Linked DNA regions of Anolis sagrei. The protein of the gene in region 3 purifies or fractionates together with the protein of the main gene of each other region. This does not show direct contact. Links are inferred from orthologs where the notes say so. Each region holds a gene or a part of one and is shown on either strand. Other genes may lie near its edges.

Evidence for each region.
Region 1: the proteins of TWF1 (region 3) and CAPZA2 purify together in Homo sapiens (affinity purification with mass spectrometry; 3 studies listed by BioGRID and IntAct, with this or other methods). This does not show direct contact. The link is inferred for Anolis sagrei from reciprocal best matches to the Homo sapiens genes TWF1 and CAPZA2.
Region 2: the proteins of TWF1 (region 3) and DBN1 purify together in Homo sapiens (affinity purification with mass spectrometry; 3 studies listed by BioGRID and IntAct, with this or other methods). This does not show direct contact. The link is inferred for Anolis sagrei from reciprocal best matches to the Homo sapiens genes TWF1 and DBN1.

The regions. Positions count from the first base shown.
Region 1 is NC_090025.1:131,056,548-131,064,396, forward strand, and holds the start of CAPZA2 (F-actin-capping protein subunit alpha-2), read right to left. Parts: upstream 3,056-7,849; 5' UTR 2,903-3,055; coding exon 2,864-2,902; intron 1-2,863. UniProt on the Homo sapiens protein: F-actin-capping proteins bind in a Ca(2+)-independent manner to the fast growing ends of actin filaments (barbed end) thereby blocking the exchange of subunits at these ends.
Region 2 is NC_090022.1:76,843,639-76,851,250, forward strand, and holds the start of DBN1 (drebrin), read right to left. Parts: upstream 3,092-7,612; 5' UTR 2,909-3,091; coding exon 2,823-2,908; intron 1-2,822. UniProt on the Homo sapiens protein: Actin cytoskeleton-organizing protein that plays a role in the formation of cell projections. Required for actin polymerization at immunological synapses (IS) and for the recruitment of the chemokine receptor CXCR4 to IS.
Region 3 is NC_090025.1:137,173,123-137,181,001, forward strand, and holds the start of TWF1 (twinfilin-1), read right to left. Parts: upstream 3,019-7,879; 5' UTR 2,960-3,018; coding exon 2,935-2,959; exon of another isoform or gene 2,930-2,934; intron 1-2,929. UniProt on the Homo sapiens protein: Actin-binding protein involved in motile and morphological processes. Inhibits actin polymerization, likely by sequestering G-actin. By capping the barbed ends of filaments, it also regulates motility.

The DNA.
Region 1 (7,849 bases), about 6.1 Mb from region 3:
TCTGCACTGTAAATTTAATGCTGTTTGACAACACGTTAACTAGTTGTTCAATGCTATGGAATAACTTGACAAGGTCTTTAGAGTTCTCTACAAAATAGTTTCACCAAACTACACTTCCCATTATTCAATAACATTGAGCCATGGCACTTAAAGTGGTGTCAAATTTCATTAATTCTACAGATTAGATGCATCCTCAGAGGATCAAGCTTGAAATGTAGCTTCAAAATGAACATATATTATACCATGTATTCATCTTCTGTAACAATTAACCGGAAATAAACCTCTTTGTCAAGGATTCATTAACCTTTTACACATCCATGAGGTGTTTATCATCACTTAAAGAGAGGGGAAAGATTTAAGAGACAAAAAAATATCATCACCATGTAAAAATTGTTTTGGACCCCATGGATGATGACATGAGGGGCAATCAAATGATATTCACTAAATGTTGATATGCTATCTATACAGGCAGAGGATACCTTATTTAGAAATGTTAAATGCTCCAAAATCTATTATAACATGGGCATCTAAGTCATCTTTCTTAACATGGAATTTATTTATTTATTTATTTATATACCGCTTTTCTCAGCCCTCAGGCAACTCAAAGCAGTGGATACTTTCATGCCTGAAAGTATCCAAAATATTGTGCATAAAATTACCTTCATGCTGTGTGCAAGACGTATAGAAAATATACATAAATGTGGTATTTAGAGGTGGGTCCCATCTCCGATCCTCATTATGTGTAAATATTCCAAAATCAGGAGGGGAAATAAAAAATCTTAAATACTTTTAGTCCCAAGCATTTCAGATAAGGGCAATGCTTATCTATTCTTTTTCTCTCTCTTTTCTTTCACCAGAGCTGAAGTGGCACGGCTGCCCTGCCCAAAACACACCCGAAGACTGGAGGGGACTGCAGGTTAGAGGGAACCAGTCTTGGTTGGCCGATTATTATTATGTATACTGTATTTTTTGTTGGAAATGACAACCTTCTTCAAGCCTTCTCTAATAATGTTTATCTATGATTCTGTTGCTTACTGTTTCCTGAATGTATGTTCTGGTATGCAGCTTCCTTTATGTTTCAATGAAAAGTTGTAAAAGGGGCTGCAGACCATATGCTCTTTTTCTCTCTCCTTTTGACTATGTGAGGTATTGATAGCTATTTTGTTACAAGAGAGATGCTCTGGCGGGATGACACAAAGAATTATCTCAAACATATTTGAAACGGGACTGATAAGTTTTGTACCTGTGCATACTGAACACATGAAGGTTGTGAGCAAACCAAATGTTATTTTTATCAAAGTCTACTTCATTTTTCACTCTTGAGTGCATGATATAAAACAAGCTGTTTTATGGGAGAGTGTATATATTTTGGGCACTGAAACCCACTTCTCAAACTCTGCAGTTTTTGTGAGCTGGTAAAATCTCTGTTTTTCTAAAAGAGCAGATATAATAGGTTATTCAGTCTAACAACTGAATAATTATATTTGGTTGTATGCTATTCTCCAAAAGGCGCTTTCCAAAAGGTTATGAATGCCATTTTCCAAAAATGTTTCCACTGTGAGCCGCCCCAAGTTCCTTCAGGAGGAGGGGCCAGGATATAAATAAATTGGATTATGATTATTATTTGGTCACATGACAAAAATATACTAGTTTGACACCACTTTAAACTGATATGACTCAATGTTATCTGGGGAGAGCAAGTTGAGCTTCCCCTGTCAGCTCCAGCTCCCCATGCGGGGACATGAGAAAAGGATGGTAAATCATCACACATCTGGGCAGATGGCTAATTCTCTCACACCATAAGCGACTTGCAGTTTCTCAAGTTGCTCCCGACAGGAGAAAAAATGTCATCAAGCTCTGGCATTCGCAAGCCCTGTGAGAGCTGTGGTGTCCTGGCATTGGATAAATCCTAGAATATTACAGATTGAGCCCTGGAAATTGAAGCGGTCTCAAACTGTAATGATTCTGCAGTGTGACTACATCACTTAGGGGAAGAAAATAGGTGCCTCAACAAACTACGAATCCCAGGATGCATCTACACCAGGCAATTCCTGTTAGAAATTGGGGTGCTGAAGTCCAAAACACCTGGAAGGCCAAAATTTGCAGAAGCCAGATCTATATATTGAGGGCCCTTCCTGACAGGCCCTATATCCCAGGATCTCATACCAGGTTTTCTGCTTAAAACTGTATTATACGAGTCTCCACTGCCAGATAATATGGAAAAAACAGAAAACCTGGGATCAGATCCTGAGAGATAGGGCCTTTCTGGAAGGGGCCTGAGTCCCCTTTGGGAAGATAAAGCCGGGTATAAATAAATATAATAATAATAATGCACTGTGGATTGAGTGCAGTGTGACTGCACTTTCCCTACCAAAGCTCAATGCTATGGGGTTCTGGGATTTGGAGTGAGGCGCTCTTGAGCAGAGAAGGCTCGAGGCCTTGTGAAACTAGAACTCCCAGGATCTTCCTACATTGAGCCCTGGCAGTTCAAAGGCGACCTAGAGTGCCTCTGCCCCGCCAGGACACTCTCGCCTACTTCAGGCCAGAGGAAAGCAGGGGCTGGCTGGAGGCGCCAATGGAGGCAGCAGCAGAAAAGGAGAACAGAAGAGGAAGAGGAGGAGGAGGAAGCGGGCTGCTGGCTCGTCCCCCAGACACCAGATCGGCCCCAGCCTATTTTCAGCGCTCGGACCGTACAAGGAGCGGCGAGAGGCCTAGGCGGCAAGAGGGCGCCAGGAGGGCCCCCTTCCTCTTCCTCCTCTGGCCCCTATGCCTGCCCTCTCCAGGAAGCTCCCTCAGGCTCCTCGCCTTCTTGGGCTTCCCTCGGCCTCCCGCCTCTCTCTCCCTTCCTCTGGGCCCCCCTCACCTTCTCCTCGTCGGAGAGCTGGTCCTCCAGGTCCGCCATCTTCGTTTCTGACCCTCGAGGAGAAGAAGGAGAGGCGGCGGGAGGAGGAAGAGAAGGAGGAAGAGCCGCAACAGCAGCCAAGGCCCAGCCGCCCGCCTCCGCCCCGCGCTCGAGCAGCAGCAGCAGCAGCGGCAGCAGCGGCAGCAGGAAGGGCGGGGCTCCGGATGCCACCGAGGGAGGGAAAGGGGCGGGGGCGCGCGCCGCAGGAGCCGGCGGAGGAGCCAATAGAAAGCCGGAGCGCGAGCATGCGCACACATGCAGAGTGAAGCCTTTTCCAGGAGTAAGGGCGGATACGAGGCAGGTTCCAGTCTTTTTTTGGGAAAGGCTTCCTTCCTGCACTCACTAATATTCTGGGTTATATGGCTATGTGGAAGAATCTTCCACACAGCCATATAACCCAGAATATCAAGGCAGAAAATCCCACAATATCTGCTTTGAACTGGGTTTTCTGAGTCCACACTGCCATATATTCTGGGTTTATTTATTTATTTATTTACGACATTCATATTCCACTCTTTTCACTCTTAAGGAAGGACATGAGAGAAGCCTCCCACAAGGATGATAAAAACATCAAATCATCCGGGCGTCCTCGCAGACGGCCAATTCTCTCACAACAGAAGCGACTTGCAGTCACTCCTGACACGACAAAAAAAGAAAACCCTTAAGGGGACTCAGAGTGGCTTATTTGTACATACAATATATTCTATTATTAGCATTACTCAATATTAGTAATATATATTACTGTATTGTACGATAGCACTATACTGCAATATTATTAGTAATATTACTTCTATATAAATAAAAATGTAATTTTCGTTTGTGGGATTAACAGAACTCAAAAACCACTGGACGAATTGACACCAAATTTGGACACAAGACACCTAACATACCCAATGTATGTCCCTCACTTAAAAAAAATTGATTTTGTCATTTGGGAGTTGTAGTTGCTGGGATTTATAGTTTACCTACAATCAAAGAGCATTTTGAACCCCACAAACGATAGAATCGGGGCAAACTTCCCACACAGAACCCCCATGACCAACAGAAAATACTAAAGGCCATCCAATCCAACTCCCTTCATCAGGGCAAGAAAACGTAATCAAAGTCCTGCCATCCAGCCATAGAGATAGATAGATAGATAGAGAGTTGTAGCTGCTGAGATTTATAGTTCACCTACAATCAAATAGCATGATAGAATTGAACCAACCGGGGCATACAGGACTCCTGTGACCAACAGAAGACTCTAGAAGGGTTTGGTGAGCATTGACCTTGAGTTTGGTAGTTATCATTCACCTCCATCCAGAGACTACCATGGACTCAAACAATGATGGCTCTGGACCAAACTTGGTACGAATATTCCATATGCCCAAATATGAACACAGATGGAGTTTGGGGAAAATAGACCTTGACATTTGGGAGTTGTAGTTACTGGGATTCATAGTTCACCTACAATCAAAGAGCGTTCTGAACCCTACCAACGACAGAATCGGGGCAAACTTCCCACACAGAATCCCCATGACCAACAGAAAATACTCAAAGCCATCTAGTCCAACTCCCTTCACCAGGACAAGGAAATGTAATCAAAGCCCTCCTGACAAAGAGCCATCCAGCCATAGATAGAGATAGATAGGATTCACACACACACAGATATAGTATCATAGATTTGAAAGGGACCCCTAAAGAAGGACAATTGTATGTTGCATGTTCCAGAGTAGGCAAACCAGACACTCTCCACATCAACACTGACAAAGAAACAGCAAGAAATACTGTTTACCCACAAGCATAAAGGAATTATATATATTAGAAACCAACACTTTCTCATTACCTTATTTTCCAGATCAACAGACTGGGCCCAGCAATGTGTGGCAGGGGACAGCTAGTATATTATATTATTAGCATTGCACAATATTAGTATTATATATTACTATATTGTACGATACCACTACACTACAATATTATTAGTAATACATGTAATATATAATTACTTAATATTATATTGTATTACAATATTATGACCAATAGCATATGCGCATATAAAATATTATTAGCATAGCACAAGATTAGATCTTCTGGGGATGCTCTTCTCTTGCCCCACCCCTGTCTCAGACGCGGCTGGTGGGGACGAGAGGGGGGGGCATTCTCGGTGGTGGCCCCAAATCTCTGGAATTCCCTCCCCAGGGAGATTAGGCTGGCACCCTCCCTAGCCGCATACCACAAGGAATTGAAAACGTGGATGTTTCTTTGTGCATTTGATTGAGTCATGATCTGAACCCATCCTTGAATTCCTATATCACATTATTATATTATATCTATATATATATAAATGCTCTGTGCATAATGAGTTCCTTAAAAACAAAACAAAAACTACAGGGCCAAATGACCCCACATTTGGCAACAAAACTCCTCATGATCCAAGGAGTGATCATCACTGAAAAATCCCACGAAACACCTTTAAATTCAAAAAAGGAAGAAGACAACACACCTCCCCTACCCCCCTCACACTGAGGACACAGAATGAGGGTTCCGAAGCAGCAGCGGCTGCAATGTTTGCTGCTGCCTGCATGTCTCCTTCCCTTCCTCCCTTTCTTTCCTTCCTTTTTCTCCTTCCCTCACCAGCTTCATCCTCCTTTATTAAATCTACAGTGTAGATGCACCCAAAATCAAACCTTCCACACTGCCATGTAAAATCCAGATTATCTACTTAGGACTGGATTATATGGCAGTGTAGACACTCACACAGATGGATGTTGGTGTGATGTGTGTGTGTAATACTTTATATATTACTATTATATATATTGCTATATCATATATATTACATTATATATATTATTGTTATATACAGCACTATATAATATAATGTTACTACTATATATTACTATATTAAATAGACTCATAGAATAGACTTAGAAGGGACTCTGCCATGGTATTGGGGGAAAACAGACAGGAAGAAAGGAGAGAAGAAAGGAGGGAGGGGAAAAGGGAAGGAAGGAAGGAGAGAAGGAAGGAAGGGGAAAAAAGAGGTATTGAAAGAAGGAAGGAAGGAGAAAAGGAAAGAAAAAGTGAAAGAAGGATGGAAACAGGGAGGGAAGAAAGGAGACAAAGGAAGAAGTAGAGAAAGGAGGAGGGAAGAAAGGAAAGAGAGAAGGAAGGATGAAACCAAAGAGCGAAAGAAGGAATGAAAGAAAGAGGTTCATCTGACATGAACCCCATATCTCTTGCTCCAGGTGGCAGATATTTTTTATGTTCTCCACAAACGCCCCATCTGTATGTTTTCCACAAACGCCCCATCACTTTTTCTCCCATGTTCCAGCACTACTTCCAATTTTAATTTTACATTTGGCCTTCCCACAGTTTTAATCGTGTGGTTTTATTGTTAATGTTGCGTTATTTTATTGTCCATGTTTTATTTTAATTGCTGTTGTTATTATTGCATGTATTGTTGTATTTGGGCTCGGCCTCATATAAGCCGCACCGAGTCCCTTGGGGAGATGGTAGCGGGGTACAAATAAAGTGTTGTTGTTGTTGTTGTTGTTGTTGTTGTTGTTGTTGTTGTTATTTATTAGGAGCATTGCAGACCAGAGCAGGTGACTGCTGCTCAAGACTCAGAACCAGCTGAACTCCCTGTCACATTGCTAAGAAAATATCAGGACTTTGCAGAAGTCTTTCTTAACAAGGAGGTTGATAATTTCCCAACATACTGACCATATGACTGTATAATTGACCTGGTACCCTCATTCTGCAGTGATTTACCTAAGATCCACGCTCGACAAGCATATGCTAAAACCAGAAGGGCCAGGGCAGAGAAACAACTCAACAGGATGAAGACAAGCCACTGAAATTGACTGCGATTTGGCCAAAAAGGATACAAGTGTAAATAATTTGCTTCAAAATGTACAAGCATAACGGTATGGAGAAAGGCAAGATATCTTATACAGTTCTGACAGCCATTCAAACCTCCTGCTCCCTCCTCTGATTGGCCAAAAAAGAGGCTGACAGGATTTATGCCACGAATATTGGCTGGGGATTGGTCAGGAAAAGGGCTTTTGGGACTCCCCCAGGAAGAAAATACTAGGGATATGTTGATGAACTTTTAATTAGCTCAGCTGTCCAATTCTGTGCCAAACAATGATACAGGGCTCAGGAAGCAAAGGTACAACAATCAGGGGTCAATCCTGGGTAATCAAAAGTTAGGTTGTCAAATAAAAGTGTTAATGAATGCACATATGTTTAAGTCTTTGGGGGAATCACACAAGCATTTCTGAGCTAATCTGGCTGGCATGGGAGATTGTCTACCTTTACATATAAACAATTAATCTGATTCTTATCTGGCATGGGAAACAGCCAAGGGGATTTGTCCCACCTTTCTATTCTTAGGGGATTATTTTAGCAGGGTCATGGAGGATGGCTTTCCCTAGGCTACATTTTGTACATTTTTTAAACAGTTCTTATACAGTGTATATAGAAAATATATACAGTGTATAGTTAAAAGATAGAAGTTACACAAAATCATAAAGTTGATACAGTTTATTGAAGGGTTAGATACAATAAAGTTCTTGTGGGTTTTTTCGGGCTATATGGCCATGTTCTAGAGGCATTTCTCCTGACGTTTCGCCTGCATCTATGGCAGGCATCCTCAGAGGGTGAGGTCTGGAGCTGGGAAAAAGGGGGTTTATATATCTGTTGATGAACTGTTGATGATCCACAGATATATAAACCCCCTTTTTCCCAGCTCCAGACCTCACCCTCTGAGGATGCCTGCCATAGATGCAGGCGAAACGTCAGGAGAAATGCCTCTAGAACATGGCCATATAGCCCGAAAAAACCCACAAGAACTGAGTGATTCCGGCCATGAAAGCCTTCGACAATATATAGATACAATAAAGTTTAGGGGTTACTGCTGGTTTGGGTTCAATCTTCTGATGCTTTGAGCTTCTATAATTCCACTCT
Region 2 (7,612 bases), on a different chromosome or scaffold from region 3:
TCACCAGAGGACTCCTAGGAAAAGGAAAACCCTTTGGCCTTCATATGTGACGCCACAAGCCTTCAACAGCTCAGTGGAAGGAAGAACTACAGGAATGGCCCTTATACTGGAGCAAACCAGGGCTGTGTAGTTCTTTTGCATGGATTTTGGCTTATGGAGATGTGAGAGCTTCCTGCGACCTGAGTGAAAAGAGGAAACCACAACAGTGGTCCAGGGAGCAGCATTCTTGGCAGGCGGAGAGAAGCAGCACGAAGGGCAGGGTGTGGTAGGCTAAGATGAAGAGGCTCAGGAGGCTGAAGAAACTATTTGGAGAGAGAGGGAAGGGGATAGGAGGAGGGAACAAGGAGCAAGAGAGAAAGCACCCTGCCCATGTCAGTGAAGACTGAGGGAGTGAAGAGAAGTGATTCAAGGTAAACGAAACCCTTAATCACAATCATCTCTGCGTTTACATTCTGAGTCAGTACTCCGTCTCTCTCTTTTCAAAAAGGTTTTTTAAAAAACCTAACATTGTGGAATTGGTCTGAAAGAAAGCACTGATCATGGATGTTTTGAAGAATCATAATCAATGTGTTGTCAAAGGTTTTCATGATCAGAATCACCGGGTTGCTGTGAGTATTTTGAGCTGTATGGCCATGTTCCAGTAGCATTCTCTCCTGATGTTTCACCTGCATCTATGGCAGGCATCCTCAAAGGTTTGTTCAGAGACCTGGAACACAGCCATACAACCCAAAAACTCACAGCAACCCAATAAGAATCAAGTTCAGTGACGCATCCCAGAACCTGGTACAAGATGCAATGGTTGTCAGTCATAAATGTAACACATGAAGACAAAGTGTTTTCTATTATTCCTTACACATGGAAGACACTAAAGCTGAAAGACAGTGATTTAGATCTCTTTCACGCAACACAATTTGATACCAGTTCAGGTGCCAAGAGACAATCTGATGGCATCTTGAGATGTGTAGTTTCATTGGGCATTTAGAATCCTCTGGCAGGGAGCTCTAGTGCCTCTCCAAACTACAAATCCCAGGATTCCCTACAATCATGGCAGTCCAAGCACTGTCACGGTGCTGTCAAGTTAGAGAGGTACCCGTGTCACCACCGCTGTCTAGCAGAGGACATGGGTCTAGGAATAAGAGGGCAAAGAATCTCTGTTGCATAATGGACACCTGCTTGAAGAAAAGATACGTAGATTTTCTGGCCAAGGAGGTCCTGCTAGCAGCTCTGCATCGGATACTTCTTCTCACAAAAGGTTCGCGCACAGAACTGCTTAATGGGGAATGATGAAGATCTTTGCAGCGAAGGCACGTGTCGGAGCCATAGCTGCAAAGGCCATGTAATCATTTCCCAGGAAGTCTCCAAGCCTTGCCAGACAAAGGAAGAAAGCGAACAGGGGAAGATTCCCAGAACAGTCCTGGCTCAAGGGGTGCCAGACAAGAATGGGCAAGAGGCACAGGCAGGCCTCCTCAGGAGCACCAGCCCCCCTTCCCTGCCTGCCTGCCTCTGGAAATGGGGCACATGCCTATTGTTTTGGAGGCTTTGCAGGAGGCGCTCCCCCTTTCATCTCTCCTTCCTTCAAACGGAGGCTTCTCCAGGCAGACACAAGGCCCAGATGAGAAAGAACAGCTCAGCTTGGCACATCTGAAGGCGTTGCTGTGCGAAGCCCAGGCTCAGAGGAGGGCTGCCAAAGGGAACCGGGTCTTGGCCCCATCAGCTCACCCCCAAAGAGAAAGGGGAAAGACACGGAGAGGATGCGGCACTGAAGGGCCTTGCCCCTCTCTCTGACCGGGGGGGGGGCTGCCTGTGCCCCCTCCTCGGCTCCTCTCGCAGACGGCAGACCCCTCCCTCCCTCCTTCTTGCTTCCTTCCTTCCTTCCTTCCTTCCTTCCTTCCTTCCTTCCTTCCTTCCTTCCTTCCTCGCTCCTCGAAGCCCTCCTCCTCCTCCTCCTCCTCCTCCTCCTCCAGCCCCTCCCCTCCAGCCTCCAGACCCCCGCCTCCTTCCTCAACCGGCCCCACCTTCCTTTGTGTGGCGCGTCTCCATCAGATAACTTTCATCTCCCCCCCAAAAAATATAGGGAGAATTGGGGAAAGAGGGGGTTCACGGCAGAGATGGGTCTTTGTCTCGAGTCTGCATACAAAGACACCGGGGCCAAGCAGGCGATGGGGAGCGAGGAGCAGGTGGAAGGCACGGAGGGGACCCGCCCCCACTGCCACCGCCGCCGCCGCCGCCGCATCCCGGCCCAAGGAGGCAGAGAGGGAGGGAGGAGGCGCAGGGGAGGCAGGGAGGGGGGTTGGGGAGGGGGTCACGAGTGGGAGCGCGCGCCCGTGCTCGCGCCTGGGTCCGGGGAAGGGGGCGGATGACGGGCTGCCCCAAAGGCAAAAGAGGGGTTCGGGTGACGCTGTCCATTCCGCGCGCCTCTCTGCGGCTTCTCAGGAGCCCCCTCCCCTTCCAAGCCTACCCGCCCACCCACCCGAGGCCCCGACCCAGTTGTCTGGCCAATGCACCATTTTGGGCTCTGATCATGGCTCCCCCCTCCTTCCCTCCCTCCCCGGTTTGGGGCATCGCGCTCGTGGGAGGCGCAGGGTGCCCCCTCCCTGTGCATTGGAGGGTGGGGGCTTGCCTGGGAAGAAGGGCTGCGGTTCCCAGGCAAGGCAGGCGCCGCCCACGCCCCCCGGCACAAAGCGGCGCGGACACCGCCCCCTCCCCTCCGCCCCGGGGACAAAGGGATGGGGGCACCCACTTCCCCCCCCCTCCCCGTCCTTACTTTCCCCCAATGCTCACACCGACCCCGGGGGGGGGGGAGGAAGGGGGCCCCGCCTTACCAGTCGGTGGGGCTGTCCTCCCCGATCACCTCCTGGTACGAGGCCAGCAGCTCCAGGCGGTTGGCGCTGAAGCTGATGCCCGCCATGCCGCCGGCCAGGCTGAAGGGGGGTGGATGATGCTGCGGCTGCTTGAGCTGCTCGGCAAGGCAAGGCAAGGCAAGGCAAGGCAAGGCGCTCGGGCGGAGAAAGGCCGCCTCTGCCGCTCGCCTCCGAGGCAATGCAGCAGCAGCAGCAGCAGCAAGAACGGCGGGCAGGCAAGCGGGCGCGCGCGCGAGCGAGTGAGCGAGCGAGGAGGCGAGAGGAGGCTCCGCCTGCCAGCGCGTCGGGTCCTAGCGCCGACCCAACAATACTCCCCCTCCCACCCTAATTCTTTCCCCCTCTCACCGCCTCCTCCTCCTCCTCTGTCCACATGTGGGGGCCTATGGGGACCATCAGCCATCTTGCCTCGCATCACTTCAGCCACTTGGCGGAGCAGAACTGTCAGCGTCTTCTGTAGAGGCCACAACATTGTGTCTCCTGGTTGAAATGTTCAGAGCAACCAAGACGCCCAGGCGAATGCCAGCACCGAGAATCATACACTTAGAAGAGGCCCCAACGGCCATCCAGTCCAACCCCATTCTGCCTGGCAGGGACACACCATCCAAGCACCCACCCCCCCGCCCCTCCCTCCCGCATCCCATCTCAAAGCTCTCAGGGGGACCTCGGCATCCTTCCTGATAAGGAACAGTTACTTCACATCATCAATCCCAATAGGTCAGTGGTTTCCAACCTATTTTTGACCAGGGACCACTTTGACCATGGACCACTCTCCAAGATTAGTACCAAACGGGTTACGAATCAGTTTTTGGTCAACTTTAGATTGTTTGGTTGTTTGGAGTGCCAATTCAGAAAACTGCATTGGATAGACCACACCAGCTCTAGTTTCTGATACAGAACAGATGCCATCCAGTAGTCACCATCTGCTTGCCCACAGAAAACCATATTTAATAATCTAGAGCTGATGTGGTAGCAGTAATCTTTCATGTGTAGTCGGCCTCTCCCCTCCCAACATCCTCATCGCTCTCATTGCTACATGGTTTTGAGGCAGCAGTGTAGTAATGGTGAGGCCATGGACCATATTTTTGCTCTTGTGGACCACTGGTGGTCCACAGACCATAGGCTGGGAACCACTGAAATAGCTGCAAGAAGGTCTATCACTTTCCACACATAGAAGTTGCAGAACCTATTCAGAATTTGTCTTGTATCTTCTGACACTGCTGGTTTAGTTTTAAGTTTAGTGTGTGATGTGTCAAGCTACCTACTAGCCATCCCTGTTGTGCCAATGGCACACTTGATAGTTGCAACAGAGCAATTAGGGCCTAGCTTTGAATGATCAAAACTATGTAGTACATACAGAAGTACACTGTAATCTTGTTAATCATTGCTCTCCCTGCTCTTAGACCCATCAGCCTGGCTGGCATCACTGTATAACCTAAAATCCTGTTTGGAATAAGGCCATTATGACTTGTTCCAGCCTTCCTCAATGTCCAGTTAGGAACAAGGGAGGATTTCAGACTCCTACACATGGTGCACTGGTTTGAGCACGGTGACTCTGGTGACCAGAGTTTGATTCTTTGCTCAGCCATAGAAACCCACTGTGTGGCCTTGGTTGAGTGACACACATTCAGCCCCAGAAAACCCTGGGATAAGGTTGCCGTAAGTCAGAAACAACATGAAGGCACAGAACAGCAACAGACCTTACTTCCCAGAGTCTCTTTCACAGAAGACCTTGAAGTTAGGCACAGGCTCGCCCCCATACTGTGTGGGCAGCAGCTGGATTCTCAAGGCACCTTGTGAAGTAGGTGCCAACATCTGCCAAGTGGGAGAGTGTTTACATGGTTCTCCCTTAGCACTGCATTTCTTTTCTCGGACACCTGGCTCTTCAAAGATTGACTATTAGATACATGCCAAACACAATGGGCAGAGATCTAAAAATGGCATATAACTTCAAAAGTATTCAAGATTTCAAATAATAATTTGAGACTATTACTTTAATTTCAATGACAAGTCCTCCATACAGCAAAGCTTGTGGCTGAGCTCCTCTGGATTGCAGTCCGCCAGGTAACATTTGCCAGCTCTGCAACCCTAGTATTTTATTTTTAGTACTGATGCACCCTACTGTAATTTATGAATGGAGTCTGGCTGGGATTCCCATCTGCTTATAGATTATCAACTAATTATTTCCCTTTTGATTATGTCCCTCAAGAATTGATCTACTATGTGGATGTTATGATACTTTGGCTGCTTGGGGAAATTAAAAAAACCCCACCCACTTCCATAACTTAAACAGGTACATGGCATCCTTGCAATGGGCCTCGGCGGAGGGGGCAGAACTCTCCCAAGATGGAGCATCAAGTGCTCAAAAAGATTCTGTGATGAAGCAACCTCCACTTTAACATTATGTCCCATGCTCAGCAAATCAAAGGCAGCATAAACTAGTTCACAATAGCAAGAAGCTGCAAACACCAAGGAAGTATCACTCACCAAATACAGGATCAGAAATTACCACTAAAGCAGAAGTTAGACTGCCACAGAAATAAGCCACTGAGAGTTCAGTAAAACATAGGCAACCACACAGGACTTATATTAAGAGCAAGGTCTGAAAAGAAGGAAGCACAGGAAAGACTTCCCTAAGTTGCACAGCAAGGATTCATTTAAAAAAATACATATAGGAAGAGGAAACAGTGCCTGAATTCAGAATTGGGTGGGGATGTGGGGAGGGAAATTTTCGACAAGAAAATAGCATGTCTGAATTTGTGCCACTTTCCATCACTATGAAATTTGATGCAAATGTATACCAGCACATGTGCTTTTGTTTCTAACATACGGCAACTCTAAGGCAAACTTATTCACTGGGTTTGTTTGGGGTTTTTTTTAAGCAAAATTCGTTCAGAGGTTTTGCCTTTGCCTTCCTCTGAGGCTAAGAGAATGCAATCTGCCAAAGGCCATCCAGTGGCTCATCTGGGTTTCAAACATTGGTCTAGAGAGTCATAATCGACCCACTAAACCACTCTCTGTATGCTGCCTTAGTAGGTGCAATTTTTTTAGAACTTTGACCAATGCAATGCACTGCCAATGCACTAATACCTTCCTCCATTAAATCTTGATGTAGCCCTCCTCTTCTGTACCTTATGAATGATCATTGCACTAAAGCTCTTTACTTATTTATGCTGAACATATTCCAGGAGACAGCTGGCTTTTCATTAAATGTGGCCAAGAGCAAGATAAGTGAACTCCTGGCCACTTGTAACAAAAAGATGTTCTGGATGTTTGCTGTCCAGCGAGGCCATTCCACTTTGATGTCCTGCACCATTACCTCCCAGCATGTGCTCAACTGAAACACCAGTATTGTCCTCTTTTTCAACTGTGCCAATAACAAAGACAAGAATACCGAGGCATGGAGACATGGATGTGGCATTTCCATGAGAACACCGATTTGATTTTCCCATCTAAGCATGACACAAGGGTTCTGATTGGGAAGAAGGTAACAGAACCAGCTTTGCTTCAAAGTTCCCCGCATCATGGCCTCACCTGTAGTTTGAACTTGATTTATCCAAATCTAGTCTCCCCATACAACACCCTGTGTAATCTCAGCAATGATCATATGGCACAAAGGTGATAAAGAATTAAAAGATTTATTTTATTAGGCACTGAAGGAAGTCACCATTGTGGCGACAAAGAATTACAGTCTCCCAGCCGGACAGGACGGTTCTGGGAAGCACACTTTGATCAAAACAGAAATAATGACTCTTTGGTAAGGATGCTTTGGGTTCAGTTCTGGCCCAGAAGTTGTGAGCTACTGGAAAATAAACACTGTGAGCCGAGGAGTGAATTGCATCTCCATGTAATTGTGAGGAAGAAACAATTTTGGCCAATGAAGCTGGTACTTATTATCTGTGGCATTTTAGCATCATTTTACTTGGCCTGTCACAACATATGGCTCAATATTTTATCCTAGCAACAGCTACTTTCCCCCTGGAATCAGGGTTATCTTAATTTGAAAACATTATATTACCAAATCGGAAGTTTTGAGAGAAACCCATGTTTCAGCTTGGGAAAAACCATTTTGTTACTGTAATATGTCTGGAGTGGACTCCTGATGCTAAGTGTGGCAATATGAGCAAAAGGCAAAATAGACTGGCACAACATTGATCCATTCTTGATCACAGGCATATTTTGCAATGCTTTTTTTGGCAGGAAAAAGTGGATAAGTGCATTGCAAAAGAAATAGGGAGAAAAGAGAACAAGACATAATCCGACAGACTTTGGAGAGAGAAAAAAAAAACCATTGTCACCAAGGACCTCACAGCAAGCATTCACACACACTGAGGAGAATGAAAACTAGGGAAGGCCAGGTATCTTCACAACAATGATAATAGCTGAGGTTGTTCAGCTAGGGAGTATCATCCCCTTCTTTGGTTGTAGCTGGCACAAGAATGATAGTGGTAAGGCAAGTCCATTTCACCAAAAAAATGGCTTCCCAGCAGGAGAAGAGATCCTAACCCGTCAGTGAGCGCTCATGCAGAAAGGAACTCTATGTTTTAAAAAGGAAAGAAAAAAGAAAGAAAGGTGGGCAATGGTCTAAATCCATGGAATGGAATCTTTCTAAAGTACTGAAAGGGAACCATAAGTATTGCATCCCCAGTGGGAATGATTGTCAAGTGAGGGGTCTGGGCCCACTATGCTCTCTGTCTGTCTGACTCTCTCTCAATCTCTCTCTTTCAGGACAGGATGAGGTGGAGGAAATGAGG
Region 3 (7,879 bases):
CAGAATTTTATATGGTTTTCTTATGCAAGGAATATTCAGAGATGGCTTGGATAGTTTCCTTGTTCAGAAATATAACCTACAGCACCTGGTATTTATTACTGGTCTCCCATCCAAGGACTAACCAAGGCTGGACCTGCTTAGTTTCCAAGATCAGATAGGATCTGGTACCTTTTAGGGTATTTAGGCTCTTTTTATAAAGACCAAAGGTAGATAAATGTTAAAGAACTACCAATAAAGCCTTCTGAACAAAGAGCGACTTATGTCAGGCCAGCATGCACAGAATAGCATGAGTCTTCTGTAATGTTGTATAACTTACAGCACCTGTAGTGGTATTCATTTGCAGTCTCCCATTCAAAAACTAACCAGAGTTGGACCTGCTTAGCTTCCTAGAAGGTGCCTTGAGTGTATTTAGGCCCTTACTTCTCACAAAGATGTAAATCCCATAATGGGCTATCCTTCCCATCCAAACAAAGGAGGAAGAGGAGGTTCCAGTGGCTCAGTCCCCATATAGGGTAAGGAATGCAACAAAAGTAAGGCTTGGGAGGCATCTGTACTGTAGAATGAATGCAGTTTGACACCACAGCTGTGACTCACAGGTGAATCATGGCAGGTGAAGGTTGCATCTTCACTATAGAATTAACGCAGTTTGACCCCACTTGAAGTACCAAGGCTCAGTGCTAAGGAAGCAGTGGAATTGTAGTTTTACAAGACCTTTAACCTTCTCTGTCAAAGAGTGCTGGTGCCTTCTAGGATTTCATTGCATTCAACCATGGTAGTTAAAGTGGTATCATATTGCACTGATTCTAAAGTGCAGATGCAGCTATAGTTTGGTGAGGCACCAGCACTCTTTGGCAGATAAAGCTCAAAGACATAATGAAGCTACGACTCCAATGATTTCACAGTATTGCACAATACTGATCCGTAGCAGTCAAAGTGGGGTTGAGCTGCACTCATTCCACAGTGTCGATCGGGCATGGACAAATTTTGGCCCTCCAGGTGTTTTGGCTGATAGGAATTGTGGGAGCTGAAGTTCAAAACACCCGGAGGGCCGAAGTTTGCCCATGCCTAGTGTACATGCACTCTATTTGTGTACTGTATTTGTTTGTTCTTGTGTGCCATCAAGTCATTCTGACTTATGACCTTTGAAAAAAGGCCAGATTTGGGTGCAAATTCCTACCAGCTGTTAGAAATTGTGGGAGCTGAAGTCCAAAACACCTGGAGGACTGAAGTTTGCCCATGCGTAGTGTAGATACACTCTCTTTGTCTGTACTGTATTTGTTTGTTGTTGTGTATCACCAAGTCATTTCTGACTTATGGCCTTTGAAGGAAAGCCGGGTTTGGGTGCAAATTCCTACCAGCTGTTATGAATTGTGGGAGCTGAAGTCCAAAACACTTGGAGGGCCAAAGTTTGCCCATGCAAACTCTGGGTGTGTACTTTTTTTTTGCTGTTGTGTACCATCAAGTCACTTCTAACGTACGGCCTTTGAAGGAAAGCCGTGTTTGGGTGCAAATTCCACTGCCAGGACTCTGGACCTCAATCAATCCTCAGATCAGCAGGAAGAGACAGTGTTTTGCATAAGCTGTGAATATGGGAGTTGTGTGTGCATTTGTGTCGCACATCAACATGCATGTCATGGTCAATTAATTCTCAACAGTGGCTTAGCCAGCTCTTTCCTCTGAAATACAGCTCACAGCCCCTGCTTTTTCTTGGCGGCTCCCCATCCACATTCTAACCAGAGTTGACACCACTTAGCTTCCAAAACCAGACATGATCCAGTGCCTTCAGAATTCTCAATAACTTTTCCTTAAGAGAGAAAATGTGTGTGTGTGTGTGGGGGGGAGCACTATCTACACCAGGCATGGGCAAACTTGGGCCCTCCAGGGGTTTGGACTACAACTCTCAAAATTCCTAACAGCCTCAGGCCCCTTCCTTCTCCTTCTCAGCTGCTTAAGTCTATACCTTTTTAATATATGTATATATTTGTAAACTTTGAGACAGTTTTGTAAATATTTTGCCATGAATGCTTTGTAAATAAAGGTGCATTTAGGTACAACTTCCCTATGTATGGTGACTTTTTAAGGATGCACTAAAAAGCTGCTGAGGAAAAGGCCTGAGGCTTTTAGGAATGTTGGAAGTTGTAGTTCAAACACCTGGAGGGGCCAAGTTTGCCCATGCCTGGTCTACACTGTAGCATGGATGTATAGTGTATCCTTTAAAAAGTCACCATACACAGGGAAATTGTATCTAAATACACCTTTATTCACAAAGCATTCATGACAAAATATTTACCAAACAGTCTCAAAGTTTAAAAATACATGAATATATTAAAAAGGTATAGACTAAAACATAATAGGACTTAATGTTTCCTATATATATATAGGAACCTTTTGGGACATCATGCTGGGAGGTGCAGTTTTCAAAGAGTCCAAGCACTCTAAACTTCACTTCCCAGGCTTCTATAGCTTTGAGCCTGGAAAGTGTCAAACCGCATTCATTCCCCCATCTGGATGCACCCATAGAGGGCCCCCCACGTTATCTCTCCAGGCTTTAAAAAGTTGTGGCTAACTCTAAGAGCGCCCTATAGTTACTAAACTGCGGAAAGCACTCTGTACATGCTCAGAAGCACCCTCTCAAGGGTTCTATGCGGAGGAAATACAATCGAAAAGAATTAAATATGAGAGAGGGGGCGAGTTTTAGAAGTTCGGTCTAACTAAGCGTTTGTTTTCCCACTCCTCCTACTCCCCCCCCCCCCCCCGCGCCAGACAATGGTTTGGTCCATGTCGGGCCGGCTTCGGAAAGAAAGGGAGAGAGAATGAAAGGGAGGCGGGGGGATCCAATGGGGAAGCGGCCCGGGGGGAGGGAGGGCAGAGAGAAGGAAGAGCCTGGAGCAAATTGCGGAGGGAGGGGGACCCGGAGACCCACCCGAGAGGTACCTTGGATGCCGGTTTGGTGAGACATGACGCTGAAGGGCCGCCGACTCTGGGACTCGCAACTTCGGGGGGAGGAGGGACAAGGTAAGGAACGGCAGAAGGGCGGGGGGGGGGGGTACTCAGAACGGCCCGGGACCATCACGTGACTTGCGGCTGCCAATCATCGCCTCGATTCGCTTGCCTTTTGCTTCTTCCGGCCCGGGCGGCTCTGAGCCGGGATTATACATCCGCACAGGAGAATGAATGGAGCCTGACACCACTTTGGGCCCTTCCACACAGCCCTATATCCCAGAATATCAAGGCTAAATCTAAACTGCCATAAAATCCAGATCCTCAAAACAGATAATCCACATTATCTGTTTTGAAGTGGATTATATGTGTCTAAACCGTCACATAATCCAGTTCAAAGCAGATAATCTGGATTTTATATGGCAGCATAGACTCATATAATCCAGTTCAAAGCAGATAATGCGGATTATCTGTTTTGTTAATCTGAATTATATGGCATCGTAGACTCATATAATCCACTTCAAAACAGATAATGCGGATTGTCTGTTTTGATAATCTGGATTATATGGCATCGTAGACTCATATAATCCACTTCAAAGCAGATAATGTGGATTATCTGTTTTGCTAATCTGAATTATGTGGCATCGTAGACTCATATAATCCACTGCAGATTGTCTGTTTTGATAATCTGGATTATATGGCAGTGTAGAAGGGGTCAAAGGCTGGATCTAAACTGCCATAAAATCCAGATCCTCAAAACAGATAATCTGGATTTTTATATGTCAGTGTAGAAGGGGCCTTAGACACTTTTGGGTGGTTTTTGTTTTGGTTTCTTGAATATCCCTATTGCAGAACAATGGCAGTTTGACACTGCCATGGCTCAATGCTACAGGATGCTGGGATTTGTAGTTTGGTGAGTTATTTATTTGGCCTAGATGACCTTGCAGAAACTACAACTCCCGTCACTCCATCGCAGTGAGCCAGTGCAGTTGACAAAAGCCCCTTCCACACAGCTAAATAAAATCCCACATTTTCTGTTTTCAAGTGGAATATATGGCAGTGTGGACTCAGATAACCCAGGGCCTTCCACACAGCCCTATTTCCCAGAATATCAAGGCAGAAAATCACACAATATCTGCTTTGAACTAGATTATCTGAGTCCACACTTAGATAATGTGGGATTATCTGTTTTGAACTAGATTATATGAGTCTACACTGCCATATAATACATTTCAAAGCAGATAATCTGGGGGCCCTTCCACACAGCCCTATATTGGAGAATATCAAGACAGGAAATCCCACAATATCTGCTTTGAAGTGGATTATGAGTCCACACTCTGATAATGTGGGATTTTTCTGGGATATAGGGCTGTGTGCAAGGGCCCTGGATTTTATATGGCAGTGTAGAAGGGGCCTCATTGAACCTAATGCATCTTATTTTACCCTGAAGACATTATAGGATTACGGTTCCTTGATTTCAATGGGAGTAATTTCTAAATATGACTGGTTTTTTTATAAGCTGGACCAAGTTTTCTGTTCACTTCAAAATAAATCCCACCAAGGAGCCTTCCACGCAGCCCTATATCCCAAAATATCTGCTCTGAATTGGGGTTAGCATAGTCCACAGTGCCATATATTCCAGCGCAAAGCATATAATTTGGGATTTTATTCAGCTGTGTGGAAGTGTTTAAAAAACACCTATACTGGTGTTTTTAAAATGTACTGTTTGGGTTTGTTGAGTCTTCTCCGCTAGTGATAAAAATAAAAGTGTCAGCAACTTTTTAAAGTAGAGGAGTCCCATAAAAGCAACATCACTTTTTATATGTGAGGTGCGAAGATTTTAATTAAATGTATTTTTAAATAAAAAAATATAGAAGGAATCACTTTATCTTGTGCCAAAGAAGCTCATTTCCCGTTTAATCCATAGTGATTAGCAAAATTATGGTCTTGCCAAGGCAGGTCGTAATTTGTTAAAGCTGGTTATGAGCCACATGCGATTGTGAGAATTATGTTGCTCCTCCACAAATTGCATAATGCTTGCAAGATGTGTCTTTGATTGGATATGTGTATCAATCAGCCTACAGTGGTGTTTTAAAAATGTGATATACAATAGTATCCTTGAGAGATACACAGTAATTACTGGTATCAAAGGATGGTTGGGATGTTGCATTGGAGTGCTCAAACAATTCACAGTGGAAACAAATAGGGTTTGAATCAGTCATAGAATCATAGAATAGAATCATAGAATCAAAGATTTGGAAGAGACCTCATGGGCCATCCAGTCCAACCCCCTGCCAAGAAGCAGGAATATTACAATAAGATAAGACTCTCGGGTCCAGTCTACACTGCCATATATAAAATACAGATTTTCTGCTTTGATCTGGAGTATATGGTAGTGTATACTCATATATTCCAGTTCAAAGCAGATGCGGATTATCTACTCTGATAATCTGGATTATATAGCAGTGCAGAAGGGGCCTGTTAACCAGTACCCATGGGGATTGGTAGACAAGTGTCATTTCTGGTTGCTTGAGAGTTACTATTAAAACAGGCTTACCTAATGCTATACCTCATACTAACTATACCATACACTCTGCATTAACTTGATATTAATAATAAAATACAGTAAAAACCTTTTTAGATATTGTTTTTATTTATTTTCAGTATATAGATAGGAAACTTGATGTTCGTGGGTAGAAGCAACTGCACCTTGTGTTCTCATCAATTGTTCAACTAGAGTCCTTTTTTAAAATCCAGTTGCTACCTCATGCAGAATTCTGGGCTTTGTAGTTTAGGAAAGAGCCTTTAACAGCCTCACTGAATCTCGGGCTTGCTGCTATGTAAGGTGGCCCGAGTTCCTTTGGGGAGATGGAGGCGGGGTACAAAAATAAAGTTGTTGTTGTGGCCATTAAAGTGGTGTCAAACTACATTAATTCTGCAATGCAGATGCACTCAGAGCAGAGGTTGGCTTAGTTTCCTGCAGGAAGGAACTCCAAGACCTTGAAACAGCCACCCAGAAAGCCCTCTATATAGCATCAGAGCAACCACAGAGGAAGCCCTTTAAATCCTTACCAAATGCTTATGTGAGAGTGGCAACATTGAAAAAATTGTTCCTCAAAACAAACAGACAAACAAAAAATAACAACAAAACAAACCCATTCTCATCACTATGTGGGAAGAATTCTTCATATAGCCTGGATCCAAGTAATTAATAAATTAAATTCTGTTTAAGTTTTTTTAAAAAAAACACAACAACATTGAATTATGACATAGGTAACAGAAGCTTTTAATTCATACCATGTCTTCTGATTTTTTCTACTACAAGAGAGGCAACTGTACAACTAATACGGAAATTTTAATGGGAAGTTTTCCTTCATTCTGAGAACAAAGGACGTACTATGTATGAGAACAGACAGTCTACATTGTCAGCAGTTTTTCTTGCTGCTTGAATAGAGATCTTAGTTTTGTCAGAACTGGTTGTCAAAGGGTGTGAAATAGTTACATTGGTGGTCCTAATTCCTCAGTTACTTCACTTGGTTTCAGGTCTGCCACAGTACTTCCAGAGTAACAAACAGCACTGAAGATCTCCATAAAACACTAAAGAACTATGGAAAGCAATGCAGAGCATTATAGATTTCTACAGAAGACTGAAGTGTTCCAGAAACGTACAGCCAACCGGAAAAAGTGAGGAAACTTACCAAAACAGAATACTACTCATCTGAGGCTGAGAGATTGTGACTGAACGGGAATTCAAAGCTGGTTCTCAGAGTTTTATTTAGCCTAATATTCAGACCATTACACCATTATGCTATGAAAACTTGGCTCTTCAGGCAGACCTTTGGAAATGGGTAAGACATCTGCCAATCAAAGGACTAAACAATCTAATATTTTCACTGGTTGAATTGGCTGCGACTGGGATGCTGTATTATTCATTTTTATGGCAATTTGTACTGTTTCTTTTTAAATTGGATTTTTTTGTAATAGGTTGTTTTTACTGATGTCATTGTTTAATATGCGTTGTAATTTTATCTTTATTTTTATGCATTATGGCACTTGTATGTGCTTCTGTAATCTGCCCTGAGTACTTCTGGGAGATTGTGGTGGGGTATTATAAAGTTTTTGTTGTTATTGTTGTTGTTATTATTTCTGTTGTGGTTTAGAAGGAGATATACATATATGATAACCAAGAGCCAATGTGCTGTTGTTGTATGAGCATTAGTCTGCAACTCTGGAGACTCAAGTTTGAATCTCTACTCAGCCGCTGGGTAACGTTGGGCATGTCACATTCTCAAACCTCCTCTGAAAAAATCATGCCAAGAAAATGATCTTGTAAGTTGGCCTTAACGCCAGGAAATGACTAGAAGGCACCCAATAACAACTACATAGCAGCACACATGATTCAACCCAAAGTCTGTATAGGCATATCTTTACTGGTGAATGCAGGAGGGGAAAAAAGATGCCAAGCAGATGTCATGGGAGACGTACTACCAAATCAAGGGTGCCACATCTGTTAGCCACTTCTTTGATGTCCAAAGGTGCCAAGAAGATGGTTTCTGGGAGTTGTAATGCAAAAGGTCATCTCTTCCTTCTTTTTGAGCAGTACACCTAATCATAAAAAAACAAACAAACAACTAGAGCATCTCTTCCTTTAATGTCTGGCATTCATTCTTCTTGGACTGAGGATCAGTTTATTAGCTTCTATCTAATTCATTACTGACTCGGAGCACCTGTCAAGGTCATCCCACTCTGTGACTGGATTAGATGAAAAGGAAAAAGAGAGCTGTGTGTCAACAGCATACTGATAGCTTTGCATAATAAAACTTTGAACAAACGTCTCCTGGTAGTTTTATATATTGTACATGTTAAACAGCACAGAGGGATGATGAGAATATTGTTGAACCTTAGGACATAAATTACATGGGCCTTCAGAGAAACTTTT